Elephas maximus indicus: one gene and its partner. Each later gene encodes a partner of the first gene's protein in a complex. Links are inferred from orthologs where the notes say so. Each region holds a gene or a part of one and is shown on either strand. Other genes may lie near its edges. The genes, in order: CYFIP2 and BRK1.

Evidence for each region.
Region 2: CYFIP2 (region 1) and BRK1 share a complex: the UniProt entries of both Homo sapiens proteins name them as parts of the WAVE1 complex. The link is inferred for Elephas maximus indicus from reciprocal best matches to the Homo sapiens genes CYFIP2 and BRK1.

Annotation. Positions count from the first base shown.
Region 1 is NC_064820.1:173,774,069-173,786,549, reverse strand, and holds the start of CYFIP2 (cytoplasmic FMR1-interacting protein 2), read right to left. Parts: upstream 5,369-12,481; 5' UTR 5,145-5,368; coding exon 5,144-5,144; intron 3,309-5,143; coding exon 3,169-3,308; intron 1,699-3,168; coding exon 1,609-1,698; intron 1-1,608. UniProt on the Homo sapiens protein: Involved in T-cell adhesion and p53/TP53-dependent induction of apoptosis. Does not bind RNA. As component of the WAVE1 complex, required for BDNF-NTRK2 endocytic trafficking and signaling from early endosomes.
Region 2 is NC_064838.1:34,997,858-35,010,480, reverse strand, and holds the start of BRK1 (protein BRICK1), read right to left. Parts: upstream 7,398-12,623; 5' UTR 7,360-7,397; coding exon 7,242-7,359; intron 1-7,241. UniProt on the Homo sapiens protein: Involved in regulation of actin and microtubule organization. Part of a WAVE complex that activates the Arp2/3 complex. As component of the WAVE1 complex, required for BDNF-NTRK2 endocytic trafficking and signaling from early endosomes.

The DNA of each region.
Region 1 (12,481 bases):
GATAATAGGCAACTCCTTAACCATTTGCATCACCCAGCCACCTGACACTTAATGTAATTTTCCATAAATACCACAGACAACTTCCCTATATGTTCTTTAGAATCCAAACCCAGATAGTCCCTGAAAATCCTTGCCTCCGTGCCTTGTTCATGCCAGTTCCTCCACCTGGAATGCCCTCCCTGACTTATAAAATTCTAACTACACGAGACAGCAGAGTGCACTGGAAAGATAAGAAGGCTGGGAATTGAAGGCTCTGTGTTCCAGGTCTAATCCTGTGATTTACTAGTTGTGGGATCATGGACAACTTGCTTATTAACTTCTCTAGGCCTCAGTTTTCTCATCCCTAAAATAGGTATAATGATCCCTTTTCAAGTCTCAGGGCTGTTATAAGGCACCAATGATAAGGCGTATTAAGAATACTTTATACATTCTGAAGTACCATATACACAAAGGTATCATTACCCTCTTATAAGGCCCTGCTCAAAAGCCACTTCCTTCAACAAGCTTTCTCTGACCCTCTCAAGTACTCTTTAAAAGCTTCACTTTGAAATTTTACCACGATATTTACCTTTAACTTTGTGCATTTTTATCAGCAAAGAATAGCCTAGAACAAAGGCTTTGTTGTCAGAAAGACCTGGATTTACATCTGTCACTTGTCAGCATAAGGACCCTGAGCAAGTTATTTAAGTTTTCTGGGTGTCAGTTTTCTCCATCTGTAAAATGGGCATTATAATAATATCTGTTGCACAGGGCTGATATGTGGATGAAATGATATAAATGCATTTAAAATATCTGCACAGAAGAAGTGTTCAATAAATGAAGCTTGTCTATTTCCCAATTGACTTTGTGAGAATCAAAACTCAGCCCTATTTTTCCATGTACACCTCTCCAGCATTTAGCACAGTCCAGGTGGCACAGTATTGAGTGAATAAGGAATGTTAAGATAAGGTTTTAGAATACAACCGATTATATATAAAAAATCACTGAACCATGGGCAGAGCCAATAAGAATTACACACTCTTTGAGTAAGGATCCTGGAATTCTTCAAATTTCTGTGTTGCATGAGAATAAAACCAACAAAGGCCCAAGAGGCAAGGCGACGATCCTTTGCAAATGGGTCAGACACTTGCACTACAAAAGAAAATAATAACCAGCCCCACTTGGGAGTGAAGAAGGCTACCAGCTTCCTCGAGTCAATACCTGTGTTATTTCAAAGGCACTGTCCCTGTTTTTGAGTGAGGAACCTTTTGTTTTGCTCAGGAAAAAATATCCCACACCTAGAAATTTATAAAGTATAAGAGAAGGCAAGATTTAATCATATGTTAACCCAAAAAGCTATAGAAGCTTGGAGAAGTGAGAAATCAATGCTGGCTTTAGAATAACAGGGGTTAAGTTAGGCCCTAAAGGTGAGTCAGATTTGCAAAGCCAGAAGAGAAAGCTGAATATGAGAGTGAACGGAGCCTGGCCTGAGCAGGGACTTAAGGAGCTGGGTCTGCTTGAGGCAGTGGGGGTTGGAATAGCTGAGCACCTGTCCTTTGTGTCTGAAGGCTGCCAAGGGCCCCTCCAGCCCTGGCAGGGAGCGTGTACCCATCTGCTGCAGAGACTTACCATGCTGGAATGGACTGTAGCCTGCTCAATGTACCTTGCGATGCCTGTGACAAATGCATTCCTGTCCTCAAAGTTCGTGTCAAAGTTGGCCTGTGGGAATCAGAGCAGAGGAGGATTTCATTGTTGGAAAACAGGTCCAAGAGACCTGAATGTCCAGGCAACAAGCTGCTGCCTACAAATGCCATAGCTCTCGGTAGAAATCTATCACAATATTACCCTCTCATCCTCCCCAACACCCCCCAAAACCCCACTCTGAATCACACTGGGCAGGAGTAGGTGGAAGACAGGCCCGCATCTGTTCCCATTGGCAGTTCGTCAGGTTTACTCGGTGGAGCCTCAGCAATAAAGGCTTAAACCATAAAAGCCCAAAGAGCTGGTAAAAGTTAAAATGTGCATTGTTTTGATCCAGTAGGTCCAGAAATACTCATCTGAGGGTGCAGATACATAAACGAAAGGATAATCACTGTGGAATTTTTGTGATAGAAAAAACTAGAAACAACCCAAACGTCCATTGAAAGAGAACAGCTAAATTAGTAAAAGTATATTCATACAATGGACTTAGAAGTGCTATGTGGCGGTTAAAAATAATGTGGTAACATTATTATTAGCAGTTGTATTGTCATAGAAAAATATCCCTAATACATTTTAAGTTAAAAAGAGCCAAATCGTACATCAATACATACAGTATGATTCCCTTTTGGTTAAAACAATAAAAAAAGTGTACACATATTGGCATAATACAGGGAAACTTTTATTTGTTAAAGTTACACTTTTCTGTACTGCTTGTAATACAAAAGCATAATTAAAAATTTAACTGATGTTAGCTGAGGCTTCAGGCATGTGTTTAATAACTACATTTAACCACTGGACGAAATTAAAAATAAGTCTTATATTTAGTCTCATTTAGTAGTCCAAGAACTTTCAAAAGGTCAAACACAGCCGAAAATGTCAAATTAACGAGTTCTCTATTAACGTGGCATACTCTCCTCGCACACCCCGACAAGGGGCTCTGTATAAGGCTAACTCCAGCCCCGCTGGTGCCCTTCCCCACCAAGCCCTGACGGGATCACCATCTGAGAAATTCCATTGTTGTTTATCACAAGCTTTCCTCTCGTAGGCAAAAGCAAACAACTGTGATCAGCCTCCCTGAGCCATTACCTGCTGTAGGCAGTTATAGAGTTCTTTTCACACACATGAAGGAGGAGTAATTACCCAGGCAGGCTCTGGGGATTTCTAAACTGCAATATTTAATTCATGAGGTCAGCGCTGCCAAAAGCTTGGTTGGTGCAGCGGCAAGAACAACCAGGAAGGTATTTGGGGTCAGTGCAGTTCAACAAGCCTTCCCTGGGGAAGGGAAATAGTCTTGGTGAACATTTACTAGCTAATCTATTCCTTACATTCAGCTCCAAGAAGGGTGCAAGGAACTCCATCAGCTCTCAACCTTTCACCTTCCAGAAGCAGACCTCCCCCTTCCCTCTGTCTGCAGGGCAAACCCTCTTAGGGGATCCCCAGAGTCCTGAGGCCCATGCACTATTTCCAGGCAGGGCCAGGAGAACTTACCTGGTACATGATGGAGGAGGGCGGAGGCTCGATGCATGGCTGCTGGTCAGGGAGGGGCAGCTCTTCCAGCAGGTCCACGTTGGACAGGGCATCTTCCAGGGTGACGTGAGTCGTCATGGCTGCAGCTTCCCTATTCCGCACTGAGGGAAAGGAAGAGAAGGGCAACAGAGGATTTCAGGGGGCTCTAAACATTTCATCCAACCCCACCCAGTGCAGACACTTTCCGTGGGATAAAGGGGGCTAACATGCATTAAGATCACTTCCACTTGCTACTTCTTCAGAACCATGCTCTAGGGATGGCTGGTGCCCTCAACCTGCACCTTATATATTTGAGGATTTCTTTACAGTTTATGAAGTCCCTAGGTGATGCAAATGGTTAACACACACAGCTGCTAACCGGAAGGTTGGAGGTTCAAGTCCACCCAGAGGCTCCTCAGAAGAAAAGCCCAGTGATCTAATTCTGAAAAGTCAGCCACTGAAAACCCTACAGAGCACAGTTCTATTCTGACACACATGGGTTCACCACGAGTCAGTCAACTTGACCGTAACTTTTTTTTTTTTACAGTTTACAGAGTACTTGTATGCCTATTATTTCAGCTTAGACTCAACAACCCGCTATGATCAACAGGGTGAGTGGGAAGTATTATATTCAAAGAACTCATAAAGAAACAAGGCTCAGAGAAGTTATGTAATACCCATACAACCACAGTAACCAAAGGTAAATGACCTAAAATAATGCCTGACACCAGGCCAGTCAGTCCCCGCCTTTTGCTCTTCATAAGGATATTTACCATTCCACTTTTAAATTAAAGCACAGCACAGATATTCACGATTTCAACAGCCAAGATAACCAACAACTTGAAACCAGAGCCTAGGCTTCATAGGCTAATTAAGCCACCAGTTGCAGCGGCGTCAATTTGGACTCCTGGTGACTCCATGTATGTGACGGGAGAACTGTGCCCCATAGGCTGATTTTTTTGAAAGTACATCACCAGGCATTGCTTCCAAGGTGCCTCTGGCTAGACCTGAACCTCCAACTTTTGGTTAGCAGCCAGTTTACACCATCCAAAGGCAAATAAGCCGGGACTAAAAGAATTCAGGCTCCAGCAAATCGACCTTGTTTGCAAAGATGGAAGAGCCCTCATCTCCCTTGGCCCTGGTATGTTTCGTGTGCCACATCAAACAAATAAGCCCTAAGGGGACATTTTTTGTCTTGGACCCAGCAGAGTGCAGCTGCTTTGAGAACAACATATTTGCCAGGCAGTGAAGATGCAGAGGATCTGAAAAGCACTGCTACCAACTCAAGCCAATTGCTATTTTAAGAACTCAGCACCCAGCGAACAGCTTATCCATCTTTGTTTTTTTTAAAAAAAACACACAGGAAACACTGATAGAAACTGATTGTGATTTAGGCCTTAGAACAAGTTGCCACAAGTTCCCCTAAATATGATATCCAACAAGTCACAGTCAAAGATAACGACACAATGAAATTAGAAATCAATAATGCAAAATGAAGCAAAAAAAAATCCATTCTGTTGAAAACTTATAAAACACTTCAAAGTTATTGATGGCTAAAGAGAAATTCAAATGGGAATTATAAAATATTTTGAACTGAAAGATAAAGCACTAATAAATATATTTATTGGAAAATAAGAAAAATGGAATTAAATGAACCTAATTTTCCATTCAAAAATCTAAAAAAAAAAGAGAATTAAAAAAAATCAACACAAGAAAATGAGAATACAGGAATAATTAGAAAAGCAGAAATAAGTGAAACAAAAAAAGCAAAGCAAAACCAAACAAACGGCAGTAGCGGTGGACACCAATGTTAAAAATTGAGTTTCTAAAAAAGATTAATTAAAAAGAAAAGCTAACCCTTTAGCATGTGTGAGTAAGGAGGAAACCGAGAAGACTCATCTTTCTATTGCGGGAACTCCTCCCTCCCATGCCAATCCCAGGGAGGCAGGAGACATACTTAAGGGTTGAAGTTTCTTGCTTGGATGTCAGCTTGCTTTGCTCAAAGGAAACGAGGCGTCAGGCCAGAGGAGGCATGAACAACTGACATGTGAACCTGGGCTGCAGAGAGTTGAAACAGCTGCAGAGTATACCAAGGTCGTGCTATCACTAAACTAATATTTTCTTTAGACCCAAGGTTGGGAGGGCAGATGGGGGCTGAACTAGGAAGAAAGACAACCTTCACCCACCGCTGAGCAGCTCACACACTTCACTGAGTTCTCAAACACATCTTCCTGTCACGTACTATGGTAATGGTGAAAGCCACGTGCAATGAGGGAATACCCAGCTCAGAAGTGACTTCCCCCTCTGCCCTCTGGGGCATCAGTCCTCACAGGGATGGTTTCAGGTCCCCATCTGCACCTCCCCCTCTTTCTTTGTTCTCTTCTCTCCTCAGAATCCTAAGTGTGACATTCAGCTCCACAGCAAAACCATTTGCCAATCCATAAAAGATTGCCTTCTTTCTTACATTAATGTTAAGTCCATTTTACAGAAGGGTTAATGATTTTACAGGGCATATTAATTCAAAGGAAACCCTATGGCATAGTGGTTAAGAGCTACAGCTGCTAACCAAAAGGCTGGCAGTTCAAATCCACCAGGCACTCCTTGGAAACTCTACGGGGCAGTTCCACTCTGTCCTATAGGGTCGCTATGAGTAGGAATCGACTCGACAGCAATCAGTAATGATTCAAATCTATAACCACCAAAGGCCTAATAATTTCCTTTATTAATTCAAATAATAATAAAACTATCATTTCTTCAGCCTTACTCTGTGTCAGACACCATGCCAAGCACTTGACGATTATAATCTCGCATGAAAACCCTATAAAAGGAGGTACTATTATTATCCCCATGTTACAGATGCGCAAACAGAAGTTCAGAATTTAAGTAATTTCACAAGGTCAAGTGCTGGCAAGTCGTGGAGCTGAAAATAGAACCAGGTTTGTTCAGCTCCAAAGTCTGTGGTCATATTCATGACCCTGTACTTCTGCCCCAATGTTCAGCCTCACTTGTGATACCAGACACATGACTGGAGGTTTATCCTGTATCAGGCTCTGTGCTAAGTGTTTGAAAGATGATACATTAGTGCTTCTCCTGTCTGCTTATGGCAGAGATGCACATGCTCAGCTTCTTCGCATTAAATGTCTGGGCTTCATCCATAGGACTCTGACGACTGTGTTTTTAAAAAGCTTCCAACCTTGTTCGTAATAAGAGAAATTCAGATTAAACTACACAGAGATACTGTTTCTCACCTACTGGACTAGCAAAAATCCAAAGTTTGACAACACACGTTGTTGCTGAGGCAGTGGAGAAACAGGCCGTCCTATACAATGCTAGTGGGGATGCAAAATGGCGCAGCCACTATGGAAGGAAATTTGGTAGTGCTGTGGATTGAACTGTGCCCCTCAAAAATGTGTGTCAACTTGGTTAGGCCATGATTTCCAGCATTGTGTGACTATCCGTCACTTTGTCATCTGATATGATCTTCCTATGTGTTGTAAATCCTACCTCTATGATGTTAATGAGGCAGGATTACAGGCAGTTATGTTAATGAGGCAGGAGTCAATCTATATGATTAGGTTGTATCTTGAGTCAATCTCTTTTGAGATAGAAAAGAGAAAGGTGAGCAGAGAGACAAGGGGACCTCATGACCACCAAGAAAGTAGTGCCAGGAGCACAGTCCATCCTTCAGACCTGTGCTCCCTGCACCGAGAGGCTCCTAGAGCAGCAGAAGATCGATGACAAGGACCTTTCTCCAGAGCCTACTGAGACAAAGTCTTTCACTGGAGCTGGAACCCTGAATTCGGACTTCTAGCCTCCTAGACTAAGAGAAAAATTTCCGTTTGTTAAAGCCACCCACTTGTGGTATTCCTGTTATAGCAGCATTAGATAACTAAGACAGGTAGTATCTAGCAAACTTTCATAAGCATTTTACCCTTTGATCAGCAATCCCACTTCTAGGAATCTATCCCAAAGACACACTGGCAAAAAGATGTCTGTACAAGGTAGTCACTGCAGCACCATCTGCAATGGCCACAGACTGGAAACCATGCACACATCTGGCTGAATAAACCATGGTACGTCTATACGATGAAGCAGCAGGCGGCACCGAAGACAGATGACACTCTACATGCAGTGATGCAGTAAGCTCTTGGACATGCAATGTATAGTATGCTACAATTTATATAAAAAGGAGGAGATGCACACACATATATCTTATATTTAAAAAGCAAACAATGAAAGGATAAACCATGTAATTTTAAAGATTGGTTACCTACGGTGAGAGGAGAAAGGAATGGGAAGGAATACAGTTAAAGGGACAAGGATAGAAACTAGAATTCTTTTAATATATCTGGTTTTATAGATTTGCCTTTAAAACCATGTAAATAAAATTTAAATTTACAAAGTAATCTCCAAAACAAATGAACCTAAAGGTCTATCTGGTTGGCGGCATAACCACACAGAAAGAAACCATCCCAAGTAATTTTAAAATTCATTAATTTGACTGCACATCCTTAGTGGGATATACTCTAGAGACGACAAAGGACTTGTAAATATATAGCTTAAGTTGTTTTCCGTAATTATATTGAGGTACTGTTGCTGTGAGAATATGAGGATTTATTGTCCGGTAAAGAAAATTAGTAATTATGGAATGTTCTAATTCTATCATTTCCTGGCATGAAGTACTGGCATCCTTGACACAGGATAAAGGAGATACGTATGTAAGACTGAGGAGACTAAGTAAAAACCTAATAGTCCTGAACATGGATTTGAAGCATTAGTAAGAACTTACACGTTTTAATAAAAAATAAAGAAGGCGTACGTTTTGTTATGTATCTTTCTACCATAAAACATAACAAAAACTCTGTCCACTGAAAAGGCCTAGAAACAATGCCCAACCCAAGAGCAATGGGCACCCTTGGTGCCCAGAATGTCATATCCAAATATCATTTGGAATCAGTGCTCACTGAAGAGTTGGCTTTCTCTAGGTCTGGGACAGAACATGTATAAAAGTCAAGAAAATCTTGTCATACCAGAAAGCAAAGAAGCTATTAATTTAAGACTACTAGGGTGAATCAAAGGGACCCTGAAGCCAACCTGGGGAGGCTTCCACTGACCAAAGATGGGACAATCTGAGCATCAACTAGCAAAATAACTACAATGGACTGAAACAGTATCAAATATGCTTAAATCTGTGTGATCATGACAATAAAAACTTGGTCTTTATTACTTGGTTACTGTTGGAAAATGCTTGTGAACCAATATTTAACTTGCCTTTCCTATACAAACAGTACCACTGGATAACCAAGTTGTAGAAGAAAGGGATGTTTCTCACCATAAAAGTATTTTTCTCCCCCCTCCAAGAAAATCCAATCCCCTGATGAACAAATGGATGTAGGCATCAATCATCAACAACTGCTAACATCACTAAATGAGAGACAATAACACATTGTCTCCTAATGGAAAAGTATATCACCACCTTATGAAGAAGTCTAGACCCAAAACAAAATACCTTAATCTATTCAGCCTTTGATACTTGTCGTAGTCATCTAGTACTGCTATAACAGAAATACCACAAGTGGATGGCTTTAACAAAGAGGAATTTATTTTCTCACAGTCTAGTAGGTTACAAGTCCAAATTCAGAGCGTCGGCTCCAGGGGAAGACTTTCTCTGTCGGCTCTGGGGAAAAGTCCTTGTCCTTAATCTTCCCCTGGTGGAGGAGCTTCTCAGGCACAGGAACCCTGGGTGGAGAGGAAGTGCTCTGCTCTTGGTGCTGTTTTCTTTGTGGTATGAGGTCCCCAACTCTCTGCTTGCTTCCCTTTCCTTTTATCTCCTGAGAGGTAAAAGGTGGTGCAGGCCACACCCCAGGGAAACTCCCTTTACCTTGGCTCAGGGAGGTGACCTTAGTACGGGTGGTATTACAATCCCACCTTAATCCTCATAACATAAAATGACAATCACAAAATGGAGGACAACCACACAATACTGGGAATCATGGCCTAACCAAGGTGATACACACATTTTTGGGGGGACATAATTCAATCCCCAACAATACCAGTTCACAGGAAACAAAGGACCACAGTGATACAATCAGTAAATTACAATCTATGGGAAACTACTAGACAAATGACTCAGTACCTTCAACGAATAAATTGCAAAAAACAAAAAACACAGAGCAAGAGAACAAGAGAGATGAAGGGAGAAGCTATAGGCTATAAGAGACTAAACAGACTGTCACAATGCGTTGACCTTATTTGGATTCTATCTCAAACAACCAACCATAAAAATAACGGAGTAAAAAAACTTAACAATGATCAGATATTTGATAATATTAAGGAAATGGCAGTGGCATCACTAGGGTTGGTGTCACTCAGTGCAGTAACTCATGGTGTCACACGTCCCCACCCCTGATCCCGCTCCCAGCCCAATGGATCTCCTGTCTTTAGTACTGTTTTTGGTTCTAATGTTTATTTTCTCCTTCTTTCCCTTGAATTAATAATTTATTCTCAAAAAAGGTATTGAATTAGGTTCATAAATACTAATCACCACAACACTGTTTTATAGCTAAAACACCAGAAAATTTGACAAAATCAGCGACTATAAAAATATCGGCAGCAACGAAAACAACAACGCGAGCCTGTGGGATGTGCAGATGAAACCACATAAGTCGAAGTGTCAGTGTAACTGGATAAAATGACATCTCTGACCACAGCACATTAGAAGGTTAAAAAGTAAATTAGCATAGAGTTTTAGCCTTGTAGGTATATCGATACACGTAAGCTGGGCTTGTGAAAAATGTTTTTGCTGTTATAGCTAACTACATGGATATTTTTATTAGAAAATTATAAATTTCTGCTGAATCACTGCATGAAAATTTTATAGACAGTCATTTTGGTGTCACTCCCTCTGACAGTGTCATCCACTGGGGGTCACATGGCCTGCATTCCGCCAGTGACGCAACTGGGAAAATAGTGTTACTTTTTAGGTGTATAAAGACACTGAGGTTTTATCTTCTAGAGCCAAACCAAAACTGTTTGCCATCAAGTAGAATCAGGTTCGTGGTGACCCCATGTGTTTCAGAGTAGAACAGTGCTCCACAGGGTTTTCAATGGCTGTGATCTTCTAGAAGCAGACCATCAGGGCTTCCTTTTGAGGCACCTCTGGGTAGATCTGAACTGGCAACCTTTCAGTTAGGAGCTGCCATGGATTGAATTGTGTCCCCCCAAAATATCTGTCAGCTTGGCTAGGTCATGATTTCCTTCTATGATTGTTTAATTGTCTACCATTTTAATCTTCTGATGTGATTTCCGTATGTGTTGTAAATCCTATCACTATAATGTAATAAGATGGATTAGCGGCAGTTACAGATGAGGTCTAAAAGATTAGTTAGTGTCTTGAGCCAATCTCTTTTGAGATATAAAAGAGAGACATGAGGACCTCATACCACGAAGGAAGCAGTGCCAGGAATAGAGTGCATCCTTTGGACCTGAGGTTCCTGTGCTGAGATGCTCCCAGACCAAGGGAAGACTGATGCATCACAAGGACCGTCCTCTAGAGCCAACAGAGAAAGCCTTCCTCTGGAGCTGACACCCTGAATTTGGACTTGTAGCCTGCCTGACTGTGAGAATAAACTTCTCTTTGTTAAAGCCATCCACTTGTGGAAGTTACAGCAGCACTAGATGACTAAGACAGAATTTGTTACCGAGAGAGTGGGTGCTGCTCTAACAGATACCTAAAATGTGGAGTGGTTTTGAAACTGTGAATGGATAGAGAAGCAGCAGTGACAGAGGGCCAGCAGCAGCAGAGAACTAGCAGCAGCAGAGAACCAGCAGCAGCAGAACCAGGGACCAGTGCCAGACAGCACTGGAGCCAACCTATGGAGCCAGAGGGCTGAGCACCTGTGTGCAGGAGGCTCCCTGGTGGAGTGAGGTGCCCTCCAGGCACTTATCGGTGGAGCTACAGAGCTTTGGAACACTTGCCCCAGCAGAGCAGATGCGGGGGTAAAGCCCAGATTCCCCAGAGGCCAAGAAACCAGGAAGCAGAAGCTGAAGAGACAACAGAGGAAGCCAAGCTGCCCCAGTCTCAAAAGGTATGGCCATGACCTCTGGGGCGTCAAAGGACGGAGCCATGGCCTCTGGTGTTTCTAAGGGTGAAGTTGCCACTCAGAGGAACGAGGAGAATAGTGCAGGTAAAGCCAAGGGAGCAGGGTTGCCATCCCTGTGGGCCTAGAAGGCAGAGCTGAAGCCCAGAGCTAAGGGGCCTCCACTCAGAATCCAGAGAGTGTGGCCAATACCTAAAGTCTGGAGGGTACAGCCATTGTGCAAATTGTCTCAGAGAACAGAGGATTATTTTCAAAGCCTTGAGGGCTGATGTAATGTGTTCTGCTAACTTGCTTGGTGCCTGTTACGCCTTCTTTCTCTCCAATTTCTCCCATTTGTAATGGAAATGTCTAGCTTGTACTTGTTCTGCCATTGTACTTTGAAAGCAGATAACTTGTATTCTGGATTTCACAGATGAAGAGATTTTTGGACTTGGAGTTGATTTAAGACTTTTGCTATAATAGGATGGTGTGAATATATCTTATATGTGACAAGGACATAAATTTTGGGGGGGCAAATGGTGGGATATCATGGGTTGAATCATGTCCCCCCAAAATATCTGTCAATTTGGCTAGGTCATGATTTCCTTCTATGATTGTATGATTGTCTACCATTTTATCTTCTAATGTGATTTCCGTATGTGTTGTAAATCCTATCACTATGATGTAATGAGATGGATTAGTGGCAGTTACACTGATGAGGTCCAAAAGGTTAGATAATGTCTTGAGCCAATCTCTTTTGAGATATAAAAGGGAGAAGTGAACGGAGAGACGTGGAGACCTCATACCACCAAGAAAGCAGCACCGAGAGCAGAGTGCATCCTTTGGACCTGAGGTTCCTGTGCAGAGATGCTCCCAGACCAAAGGAAGACTGATGTATCACAAGGACCTACCTCCAGAGCCAACAGACAGAGAAATCCTTCCCCTGGAGCTGACACCCTGAATTTGGACTTGTAGCCTACTTGATTGTGAGAGAATAAACTTCTCTTTGTTAAAGCCATCTGCTTGTGGTATTTCTGTTATAGCAGCGCTAGATGACAAAGATAGTAGCCAAGCACTTAACCACTTGCGCCACCCAGGGACTTATCTTCTAGAGATATCTACTAAAATATGGATAAAATGATACTGAGGTTTGCTTCAAAATAATATTAGAAGGGAGAAGAGTGAGTACAGGTGAAACAAAATGGCCATGATTTGGT
Region 2 (12,623 bases), on another chromosome or scaffold:
AAACAGCCGTGAGAAATTACAAATTTGAAGACTATTTAATGATATGAGAAAACGTTCACGCTACAATGCCAAGTCACAATGTTCATGCTACAAAGCCAAGCAGCTCTAGCATATACTTAACCACTACGCCACCACGGTTTCCATTTACGAATTAGTAATTTATAATTTATTTACAAGTCTGTTCCCCCACTATGATGAGTTAATCAAAGGAAGGTACTGCCTCTTAATAATCTTTATAACCTCAGCATCTTACCTGGCACATAGATGTCTACTGAAAAAATGATTCTGATTATGTGAGTAGAACAAAAGATCAACTCCACTTATTTTACGAGTGAGGAAACCGATGCCTATATAAGCTGACAGTCCATCTTGGGTCACTGACGGGACAAATAAATTGCGGAGCTGAGTTCAGCATCCAACTTCCTCACTACCCACGAATGGTACTCTTCCCAATTACACTGTCCCACCACACCCTGCTACCACACTTCTGAGCCTTTGGGGCTATAATTCATTCCCCACATCTCTTAAAATTTTCTTACAGCCCAACTCTTCCACTTTCTAGGGTTGTTTGTTTGCTTCCATGGTATTCTTTCTCATTCATCCATTTAATTGGTACTCTTCACTGCTGTTTTAAACAGCTTTATTGATATAATTTGCATACCATAAAGTTCATTTGCTTAGAGCATACAATTCAATGTTTTTTAGTATATTTACAGAATTGTGCAACCATCACCAGAATCTAATATTTGAACAGTTTCACCATCCCAAATGAAACCTGTACCCATTAGCAGTTACTCCCCATTCCCCTCAGCCCCTGGCAATCACTAACCTACTTTCCGTCTCTATGAATTTGCCTATTCTAGACGGTCTTCCTTATTCTTTTTCATCTTTTTTAAAAACTGCTAGTGCTGCTTCCTCTAATTCCCGGGTCTAACTTGAGTATGAACACCTCAGCAGTCCTCTTTTCCTGGGTACACTGCCATTTGCTGTCAGGCTTGTCCAACAGGACCAAATCCCTTTGAGTTTTTAGAAGCTCAAAGGCACATCACGTACGCTACTCAGGAAGAGTACAAATGTCATCACTGACAACCTGTGATTTCCTAAAAAGAACCATGCCAAAGCTATGTGTGCACATGTGTGGCAGGGAGAGGATTCCTTCTTGGCTATCTGTTCTGTTATAGCTCTATCAATCTGGTAATGAATCAGAATCCAAGAACAACACTGTGCTACTGGCCTGCGTGTACAAGCATAGTTGAGAAATATAAAATGTTCAACTCCAGAAACCTTAATCATATTTCAGATCCCATTAAGTACATACTGGTTCAAATAAACACCGGGAAAGCATTAGGCAGCTGGACAAATCTGAAATCAGAGTATAGTTATGTGTACATTATCAACAGATTTCAACTGAAAATGCCAGTCCTTGCCAGGGTACTTGATGGTGTACATACGTCATCATGGCTGACAGATGCCAGATGGCTCCATCTCTTCTCTTACTGCACATAACCCTGGCACTACAAAAATTAACACTGCCTTTCTAATTGTTTTTGCAGCTAACTGTTATTTCTCCAGTAAGATTCTAAATTTCTTAGGAATGGGTACTGTGTTCATTTATTCTTATTTATTCCTTTCTCACATCGTCATCTGACACACAGCTGGGGTCACAAGTGGCATACTCTGTTGGCCAAATATAAAAACTGAGATTTTTAAATAGCCACATTCTCTATTTTTTTTATACTTTTCTGCACTTTCTACATCTTACACAATGAGCATGTATTAGCTTTATAATCAGGAAAAAAAAGTATAAAAGTAAAAAGCTATAATCTGTGGCAATCTATTTTTAGAAACTTCACCAAGTCCAAAGTACAGAACAGGCCTAGTGTTATAGTGTGTTGTTGCCGCATTACAATCTGCGTGTCCTCAGGTTTAGTTGGTCCTACAACTCTGAAAGAGAAAACCACAAAGAGACTGAGACTTTACTCTCACCAGCTCCAGCCACAAGAAAAGAGCTATTCAGAAAGTCATCAGCATACACGCATGCCTGTAATGGACTGAATTGTGTCCCCCCAAAATATGGGTCAACTTGGTTAGGCCATGCGTAGTTGTCCTCTATTTTGTGATTTTCCTTTGTGTTATCGATCATAATCTCTGCCTGTGGTTAAAAGGATTACTCAGGTCACCTCCCTGATCCAAAAGGGAGTTTTCCTGGGGTGTGGCCTGCACCACCTTTTGTCTCTCTTAAAAAATAAACAATACCACCTGTGAAGAATGTGCTCCCTTAAATATTCAATGTTGACCAAACAGTCAACAAAAAAACCAAACCCATTTTTGCCAAGTAGGTTCCAATTCACAGTGACCCTATAGGACAAAGTAGAACTGACCGATAGTTTCCAAGGAGTACCTGGTGGATTCAAACTGCTGACCTTTTGGTTAGCAGCCATAGCTCTTAAACTCTACACCACCAGGGCTTTCAAACAGTCAACATTTACCCTAAAACAAAGGTGAGACGGTAGGGAGGGGCAGGAAAGCTAGACTAATGGAAGCAGAACTAACAGAATGGAAACAATGAGAATGCTGATACACTAAAATATGTAACCAATGTTACGGAATTATCTGTATTAAAATCATTAAATGGCAACCCAATTTGCTGTGTAAACTTTCACCTGAAACACAATATTAAAAAAAAAAAAAAAGGGAAAGTCATTATCTTGGAAAAGCAGTAAAGTATTAAAAAAAAAAGTAAGTTCCCTCTCTAAAGCACACGGCCTCTGCAGACTCTGTGTGGTCAGGGTGAGGACTGCAAGATTGCTGTCATTTTGAAAGTGCTCTAGATGCTCCCGCAAATAAACTCCTATTGAATTTTTACACCATCAAATCATATTATGAATATGAAACAAGTCCTGCAGATTAATATCAGAACTGACGAGTCATGCTAAGGGCTTAGAAAGGGAAAACGTATCCCACACACTATCATCCTGAATCATCCAATGCCAAGACGATGTACTCAGGTCTGTCCTCATGATTCACCGTTTCTCAGCCTTTGTCTAAACTCGTGTGGTGATATTATCCCTCTTCAGGAACTTGCTTCAGTTGCACCTAATTTCTGAATCAAATTGCTTTCATTTTTAATCTTGCTTCCTAACTGTTCTTCCTTACAAGTAATTAATTGTGCTTTCTTTTTTTTTTTCTTTAAAAGGACTTAGTTCATTTTCTAAAATCTTCAAAAACCTAGAAATTATTCCAAACACTAGGCTATTATCATTACTTTAAGGGAAGATAATGACCCAAATAAGGGAGGCCATTTCTCTGGCCCCTAAGAATTAGAATTCTGGGTGTCTATTTCCTCAGTTAAGGAGCCCCAGTGGCACAGTGATTAGAACGCTCAGGGGCTAACCAAAAGGTGAATGGTTGAAACCCACCAGCCACTTTGTAGGAGAAAGATGAGGCAGTTTGCTTCCTTAAAGATTTACAGCCTTGGAAACCCTACGGGGCAGTTCTACTTTGTCCTATAGGGTTTCTATGAGTTGGCGTCAACTCCACAGCAATGGGTTTGGTTTTTTTAGTTTCTCAGTTTAGAACTTGTTGGAAATACCAAATTAAAAATTTTAAAAAGTCTTTATTCTCTAACTGATCACAAAATGTGACTCACACACATATGATTTAAAATCTCGGAGCAAGTATTTTCTTGCATATAAGAAAAGGGACATTTCTCCTATGCAAATCCTAAGCCCAAACCTTCAATTTTCAATCAGTCCCAAAACTTGCCCACTATAAATTTAGTAGGTGTGACAGTCCAAGAAAACTTCTCCCAAAGATAAATATACGTGAACCAAATGTCCATGAATACAATTCTAAGCTCAGAAATGAAGTTATGACACTAGCAGGGATCCAGTTTTCTGGGACTGGGATCACTATGAGTCAGAACCGATTTGACAGCCTGAGGTTTTGTTTTTTTGTTTGTTTTTGGGGGGTGTTAGAATCACTTTTAAATTTTTAAAGCAGTTTCAGCTTGACTTGTTTAGATACTTACTGAACAGACATTCTTAATACTTTGCTTGGATATTCTGTGTATATGTCAAAAATTAACTCCTACCAAATTAAGTCTTTTAATTCTGCTTTTTAAAACAAAGTTAAAACTTTCAGTGTCAGTGATTTTTCTCACTATTTTCACTGCCTTTCCGGATTAAGTCAAAGTCTTAAAGCTGTGATCCTGCCATCATTATATCCTTCCCCTAGCACAAAAGATTTTGGTGTCTCTTGGCCCTTCCTCTAAAGGAATGTTATGAATAAAGAATACTATGAAGAAACTCCCCGCCCCCCTCCCCCCGCCCCCCCGCAAATATTTCAGCTCTCTAGGAAAGCAGGAGAAACCAATAATTAAGAACAAACACTGCGATAAAAAAATGCTGTTGCCTTCAAGTCGGTTTTGACTCTTAACGACGACCCTATAGGACAGGGTAGAACGCCCCACAGAGTTTCCAGCGACCGGCTGGTGGATTCAAACTGCTGACCTTTTGGTTAGCAGTCCAGCTCTTAACCACTGTGTCACCAGGGCTCCAACACTGACACAGTTCATACAGAACTTAAAAAAGGGGAAGTCCAGCCTATCTAGGTAGCAGAGTAAATGGGTCATTACTGCATTTTCAGTTCACTAAAACCAATTCATCTAACTCCTTTGAACTTGGGTCTTCTGATTCCAAACCCACTTATCTTTTCCACCAAACATACTCCTTCACTTATATTCCTCGAAAATAATAAATAAAATTTCAGGGTACATGAAAGCTATGCTTTTCTTGACTATCATTCCCTATTTACAACCTCGATAGCACTTTGCGTCTGAGTATGTATCAATGACATACACATTTATACTATGTGCTCAGTAATACTACCTTTACTCCCATTCCCCAGTGGGTGAGAAAATCCACCACACTAAGGAACATCAAGATTATAGTCCTACATACCTTGTAACTATTTTAACATAAAAACAATGTTCTGCTTTGTTCTGAAGTTATCATTATTTCATCTTCAAGATTAAAAATTTCTTGAAGGCAGAAGTGATTCCTATTCTGGGTCCCCCACAGTGCCTGAGATAGATTTTGTTTGCACTGAGTCCTGTTTCTCCTGCTGATGCCTTCTGACACGACTTTTTTTTTGGAGAGGGGGGCGGGGTGCGCTTTAAGTGAAAGTTTACAATTCAATTCAGTTTCTCATACAAAGATCTATACACACATTGTTATGTGACCCTAGCTAGCTGCATTCCCTACAATGTGACAGCAACTCCTTCTCTCCACCCTGTATTTCCCATGTCCATTTAACCAGCTGCTGTCCCCCTCTGCCTTCTCACCTCACCTCCAGACCGAGCTGCCCATTTAGTCTCACGTATCTACTTGAGCTAAGAAGCACACTCTTCACCAATATCATTTTATGTCTTATAGTCCAGTCTAATCTTTGTCTGGCTAAGAGTTGGCTTTGGGGAAGGTTTTAGTTCTAGGCTAAGACAGAGTCCAGAAGCCATGTCTTCTGGTGTCCCTCCAGTCTCAGTCAGACCATCAAGTCTGGTCTTTTTACTAGAATTTGAGTTCTGCACTCCACTTTTCTCCTGCTCCATCAGGGACTCTGCTGTGTTCCCTTCAGGGCGGTCACTGGTGGTAGCCGGGCACCATCTAGTTATTCCAGTCTCAGGCTGATGGAGTATCTGGTTTATATGGCCGTTGCTGTCTCTTGGGCTCATATTTTCCTTGTGTCTTTCGTGTTCTTCATTCTCTTTTGTTCCAGGTGGGCTGGGACCAACCGATGCATCTTAGATGGCCACTCGCAAGTTTTAAGGACCCAGACGTCACTTACTGAAGTGGGATGCAGAACGTTTTAATAAACTTTGTTATGTCAATTGACCTAGATGTCCCCTGAAACCATGGTCCCAAATCCCCACCCCTGCTACTCTGTCCCTTTAAGTGTTTCGCTGTATTCAGGAAATTTCTTAGCTTTTGGTATAGTCCAGTTATGCTGACTTCCCTTGTATTGTGTTGTCCTTCCCTTCACCTAAAATAATTCTTGTGTACTATCTAGTTAGTGAATACCCCTCTCCCTCCCTCCCCACCCTCCGAACCATCAAAGAATGTTTTCTTCTGTATTTAAATCTACTCTTGAGTTCTTATAATAGTGGTCCGACACAACTCTTGCTGTCACTTTTACACTCCTTAGGACTCATCAGCCATTTAGGTAGGAAAAAATTCATTTTAAAATCTTTTACCTATGCATCAGTTTTCCCTATGTAATCTTAATTCCTTAATTTTCTGAATTAATGGAACCAACGCACACTAGCTGGAAAAAGAAAACTACACATTATTCACACACCTTACGTAATTAGGAAGTCTACCCAGTGCCAAATTCTCTGAAAAGAAACACTTGGAGAACATGGGGTAGGATTCTCTGTTACAGGCCTGGTCTCCAAAGGACACTGAACATGCAGAAATAATTTAAGACTGTCACAAGCTGAACGTTCCTGGGAAAGATTCTGGTAACGCTGTTTCTATGCTCAAGACACCTCCCTATGTTAGTTCTGAGGAGCAGGAAAGAAGCAAAAAGAACACCTACTGGATACTAGCAATACAGAAGTTGCCAACAAATGAGTCGGAATAGACTTGATGGCAACTAACAGCACAATCTGGACCTTACCTACCTCACTGACCTCATCTCCTACCACACTCAGCACAGTATACACGGGAGACAGGAAGGAATGGACAGAAGAGCTGCTGAAAGATTTGCAGAAAAGACATATAGGGAGCTAAGGGGTTCCAACTTGATTCTCAAAGGGGGGGGCCATCAAGAGTTTTTAAACAGGGCAGTGACAGGGTCATGGCTGCGTTTGGGAGGTGCACTCTGAGTGCCAAGTGGGGACTGGATAGGAAGCGGAGCCCATGGTGGCAGGACTAGTGAGAAGACAAGGCGCAGAGGGTGGATGGGGCTGCTTGATAGACGCGCCTGGGAAAAGGACTCCTTAATGGACCTAGGATGAAGGCAATAAGGCCGATGAGCTCAGCTTAAGGCAGAATAACCCCACAGAAACTGTCTAGAGGAACCTGTGGGTCACCGCCGAGAGGTGGAAGGAGGGGCCTGAAGGAGGAAGCGAAAAACAGCAGGAGCCGAGGGCACCCGGGAGAGGCCCGTCAAAGCTTTTCGGTGCCCCGGACAAACCGCCTAAGGCCTCCCTCCCCCCTGCCTCCCCCTGCTCGCCCGCTGACCGAACGAGTTGAGAAAGTCCGCGATTTTCTTGATGCTGCTGGTGATGACCTCAATGTACTCCCGGTTCGCCCAGTCCTGGTGAATCTCCCGCTGCACCGGATCCTCTTGTCCCGCCATGGCGGCCGCCTAAGGAAGAGCGCCTGCGCAGGCGCCCCGACCCTGCAGGCCGCCAGTGCGCCTGCGCCGCCAGCCCACGCCCATCCCTTGGGACTCAGGAACGCCACGAGAATTGTGGCGCGCCTGCGCAATGTCAGGCCTTCGCCTTCGTTTTCGCTCTTCTCCCACGGCCCTGCAAACAGATGCCCCAGCTCTGGCGGTGAGAATGGAGTGCGCACGCGCTGAGAGCCCGCTCCCGCCCCCGGTCACTAGCCGTTATGGTCGTTAGGGGGCGCGTGGGCTCAAGTCACGTCCTCCCTCAGCTGCTCCAAACTAGGGTCTTGCAGTCTGTTTCAGCATTAAGATGGGCACAACAGATTAAATCTCAGTAAAAGTCATTTAGAAAATGCCTTTAAACAACGCAACATGATGTTTTACCAGCATTTATCAAATGAGAGGCTTTTTTTTTTTTTTTAACGATACTACCCAGTAATGGAGAGGCTGTGATGAAATTGGTAGACTCGTAAACACACGATAAACTGGCACAATCTTTTCAGAAGGAATTTTTTTAATTGATAGCAAAAGCTGTTAAAAAAAAAAAAACATTTAGCTTAATCATTTCATTAGGAGACATTTAAAAAAAAATTTTAAACACAAGGTGCTCCTTGTAGCATAATCTATTTAAAAAAAAAAAAGAAAATAAAAAACTAAATCTCCAACAACTGGGGAATGGCTAAACAACGGTATAGCCACTTAAGGCAATATTATACAGTCATTTAAATGCTAATTATGAAGACTATGTCAACAAGATAACAAATTAAAAAAACACAAATTTTCCTTTACTTGAAACTATGTAAAAAATGTCTGCTTGAGAACAAGGAGGATGCACCAAAAATGTCAATATCTAATTTGTTAAAGTAGTAGAATTATGAGCAGTTTGGTTTTGGGGAATATTTACAATCTGGTTTGTGCAATAAATGCCTTTTATAAAAAATGCGAAAAGTCAGGTTACTTTTAGCAGTAGCTGAGAAAACCTTTCTAACAGTTCTTTATTCTGGTATAAGATTTTATAATCTATAAAGATGCTTGGCAGTTACTACCTCACTGGGCCCTCACAAACCCTGTGGGAGGAAGTCAGGAAGAGATTACATCACCACCCTTTTGCAGAAGAGAAAATTGAAGTTCAAGGTCACACAGCCTTTTAAGTCGTTGTCTTTAACCAGCTGATTCCAGACTCCATTATCTTTTTACTTTGCCACTCTGAAAACATGTCTGTCTGAGCTCTTCTACATATTCATGTCAGTGATTTCTAACATAAGTAGATATTGACAACTAGGGAGCCCTCCATATGTACGGAGTCTCCCTGTTTGAGGCCATACTTCGTAAGTGATGCTCTTGATGTAATTTTTTTTTTTTTAGTAATTTTTATTGTGCTTTAAGTGAAAGTTTACAAATCAAGTCAGTCTGTCACATATAAGCTTATATACACCTTACTCCATACTCCCACTTACTCTCCCCTAATGAGTCAGCCCGCTCCCTCCTTCCAGTCTCTTCTTTCGTGACGCTTTTGCCAGTTTCTAACCCTCTCTACCCTCCTGTCTCCCCTCCAGAGAGGAGATGCCAACACAGTCTCAAGTGTCCACCTGATACAAGTAGCTCACTCTTCGTCAGCATCTCTCTTCAACCCATTGTCCAGTCCCTTCCATGCCTGATGAGTTGTCTTCGAGAATGGATCCTGTCCTGGGCCTACAGAAGGTTTGGGGACCATGACTGCCGGAATTCCTCTAGTCTCAGTCAGACCATTAAGTCTGGTCTTTTTATGAGAATTTGGGGTCTGCATCCCACTGTTCTCCTGCTCCCTCAGGGGTTTTAATGTAATTTTTTGCTCACACATCACAGACCTACTTTTCAATTAAAGGGAAGCCATCTAGGTTTCAAATCCCAAGTCTACCAGAGATGAATCATTTCATCCCTTCATGTGTAATACAAGAATAGCAACATTTGACGGGTTAGGACTGTTGGGAGGATTATGGAGTAAGGATAAGTAAAACACTAAGAGTCATGCCTGGCACCTCACAAAGCGTGTACTCAAGATCAGTTTACATTTATGCAGAGCAGAAAATTAAATACACCTATATCTATCCAACAATTTTTAATCATACAATTTTGCTTTGGGGACTTGCGTTTAAAAAAAAAAACTGCAATAAAAACTATTATTGTTTTTTTTTAAATAATAGGTGTTGATTTTATTCAAGAGGAAAATAAAAATAAACTTCCTGGAAAAAAAGTTTGGTAATTCAAGAATCACTTGCATGCCTTCCAAGTCTCATCATTCTCTTCCCTTCTCTCCACTTGCCTCTCCTTCCACAGGCACAGTGGGCGGCTGACTGTGGGCCTCCTTCACAAGTCTCTCAAGACTATTTTCCAGACCAAGATCTCAACCTGATCCCATCCCCAGGCCTCTAGTCCCTCCACTCCACCTTCACCCAAACAAAAGGCGACAGCTCTTATGGTGCTGTGTTCTCCATCATGCAAAGTGCAAGGGCAATTTCTGGGTGTCTGATGGAAGAGCAGGTAGGCCATTAGTCAGTTCCTCCCACAAATCCTAACAGCACACTACAAACACTGTGATAGCCACGCACTGGCGTTAGGGAGTGAACTGGACAGACATCCTCTTCCCTCAGTGATCCAGGCTAGTTGTTTCGCATGATCCTTAGGAATTTGTCAAATCATTCCTTAAGGTGTCAGTTTTTCAGCATTGTAAGGATGGGAACAGAACTGTACTTTTCGAGATTTAACTTTCAGTCAGGAAATCAAGGAAAGATGTATCTTTTTTCTTGCTCCTTGACAGACCGAGCATTTATAAATTGTTTCCTTGCAATGTCATCATTTGAAAATACAGCAACAAAGGTCTTCAGGGCTCTAGATAATTAGCCCTGAACACTCACTGAGTTGGCTGTAATTAGAGACTTTTATTAACTACAGGTCCCAGGACGTTTATGCAAGTTCTTGATCACAGTCTGTGAAGTGGGTGTGTCAGTCCTCTATTACAGGGTTGGAATGGATGCTGAGGTTGAGGACTTGAGGAAAAGACACAGGTATGGCCGGGACACGGGGGAGAGAGGAAGGCCGGGTTCGAATCCACTCTCCTGAAGGACGAGTCCCAGAACCAGCTTTTCAAGGAGGGGTAGGGAGTCCAGCCCTGACGCTTCACAGCAGGGGCGCCTCGAGCCCCCCACCCCCCACCCCTGAGGCTCGGGCTTCTCCGCGATCCTGGGTCACAAAGGCGGTTGCCAGGCGCCCGGTGGAGAAAAGATGCGGCTCGGGAACAGCGGCAGCCACTCTGGAGCGTGTGGCCCGCGGAGTTCAGCAGGTGAGCCCCCGGCCCGGATGGTGGGACCGGGCCCGGGCTCCTACAGCCACCTCCGCCTCGGCCAGAGCCCTCTGGCCCCCGCCCCCGGGTAGGGACCCCGGGAGACAAGCCTTTTCTTCCGGCTGGAAGGGAGAGCCTCCCAACCCCGGGCAGCTCCAGCCCCTCCTGATCGCAGCTCACGAGGACCTCACTGCACTTTGGCGCTGCCTTCCTCTTTCCCAGGTGGGGAAATTCCAGGGGCTTTTTGGGAACTAGAGGAGGGTATGAAGGGGAAGCCTGTTTGCTCAGGCTGGAAGCTGCTACAGCAGCTTGAACAGACTTCTTAGATTCAACCCCTCTTGGAGTGGATGACAGCTTCCAGGTGGTGGTGGGGGTGAATCACCTTTATTAAAACCTTGTGTGAAGTGGTGGAAAGATGTGAAATCAGGAGCCCTCTCATCCCCTGCTCTTTCTGCTATACATCCAAGGTTTGACCTTTGACAAAACCTTTCACCTCTGGTTCTATTTTCTCATAAGAAATGAGTAAGGAAAAGGATCCTGGGATTATCTTTTTTTCATTGTATGCCCAGAGGAGTTGTACCAGAGTAGCCACGATCTTGGATATATGCTTAGGGCCATATCAAGCATCAGAAGACTTCCCTAGGCTGTCCCTTGGGTGTCAGTGTTTTTCATCCTAAGGAGCCAATATGTGAACACTTAGTTTGTGCAAAGGGCCTGCACAGATTATGAGAACCATACTAGTTGGAGGAAACCAACAAACTTCCATTATACTAACCATTCTCAGGGGTAGGTCTTTTGGTTTGAAATGTCACCAACAGTTCTTTAAAAACTTTTTTAAAGAATCAACAGTTTGTGTTACAAACTATGGTGGAGGTATCAACTTTTCACAGCACTTCCAGGGCAATTAATGGATGGGATGGGATCAGATCTGCTGCTGTTACCTTTTGTGGGAGAAGAGAGAAGGGACAGAGGAATACACTTGGTTGGAAAGAAAAGGGATCTGCTATGCCTCTTACATCTAGGTAGGTGCTCAAAACGTTAGCTTCTTCTGAATTCAGAAAAACCCTTTATATACTGTTACTTTTGAAGTATAATGATGGGAAATTCAAATTCTACTTGAAAAATTTTTGAGTTAGCAATATCTTCCCAGCCCTTAAAGAATTATCTTTAAGGTGAGGGGGGGTAGAAAATCAAGGTCTTAACCACATGGTGGGCCTCTCCTAGATGAGAAAAACACATACATAGAAAAACTAGAAAAATCTTTAAAATTTTTTAAAGACTGGCCTTTGGAAACTTTCTTTCCTCCCAGCCTGGTATAATTTCTCTGAGCCTGTATATAGGTAGGCCAGGGCTCTGAAAAAGAGCTACTCTCTGTGTCAGGAAACACTGAGGTTTTTAGGGCTAAAAAGAGACTGTCTCCATAACTAAGAACAGTGAAAGCTGGAATTCCTCAAAAGGGGAAGCATAAGAAGATCTCAAATTATAAGGTACATCCCTGGAGAGCTTATTTAAATGCCTATTGCTGAGCTCCCACCTGCAGAGTTTCTAGATTCTTTAAGTCTGAGGTGGAGCCCAATAATCTGCATATCGAACAAGTTCCCAGAGGATGCTGAAGCTGCTAGTCCAGGGATCATACTTTGAGAATGAGTGCTGTAAAGAGAAGTACATGGGATTTAGAGTTGTAAATATTTGGTAAGACATGGTCTTTCTGAGCTTGTAACCATAAATAATCTTTCATCCTGAAGTTCCGGCAGCCTCTGCTGCCTCAGAGGAGTGGACTCTGTCTTCAGCCATTACCACACAGAAGAGGTACTAAAGATGGACTGGGATAGTCCAATTCAGACAGATCTACTTCCTAACCTGTAAAATGGGTTAAACCTACCTTCGGAGCTTGTGATAGGGTTTAATAAGG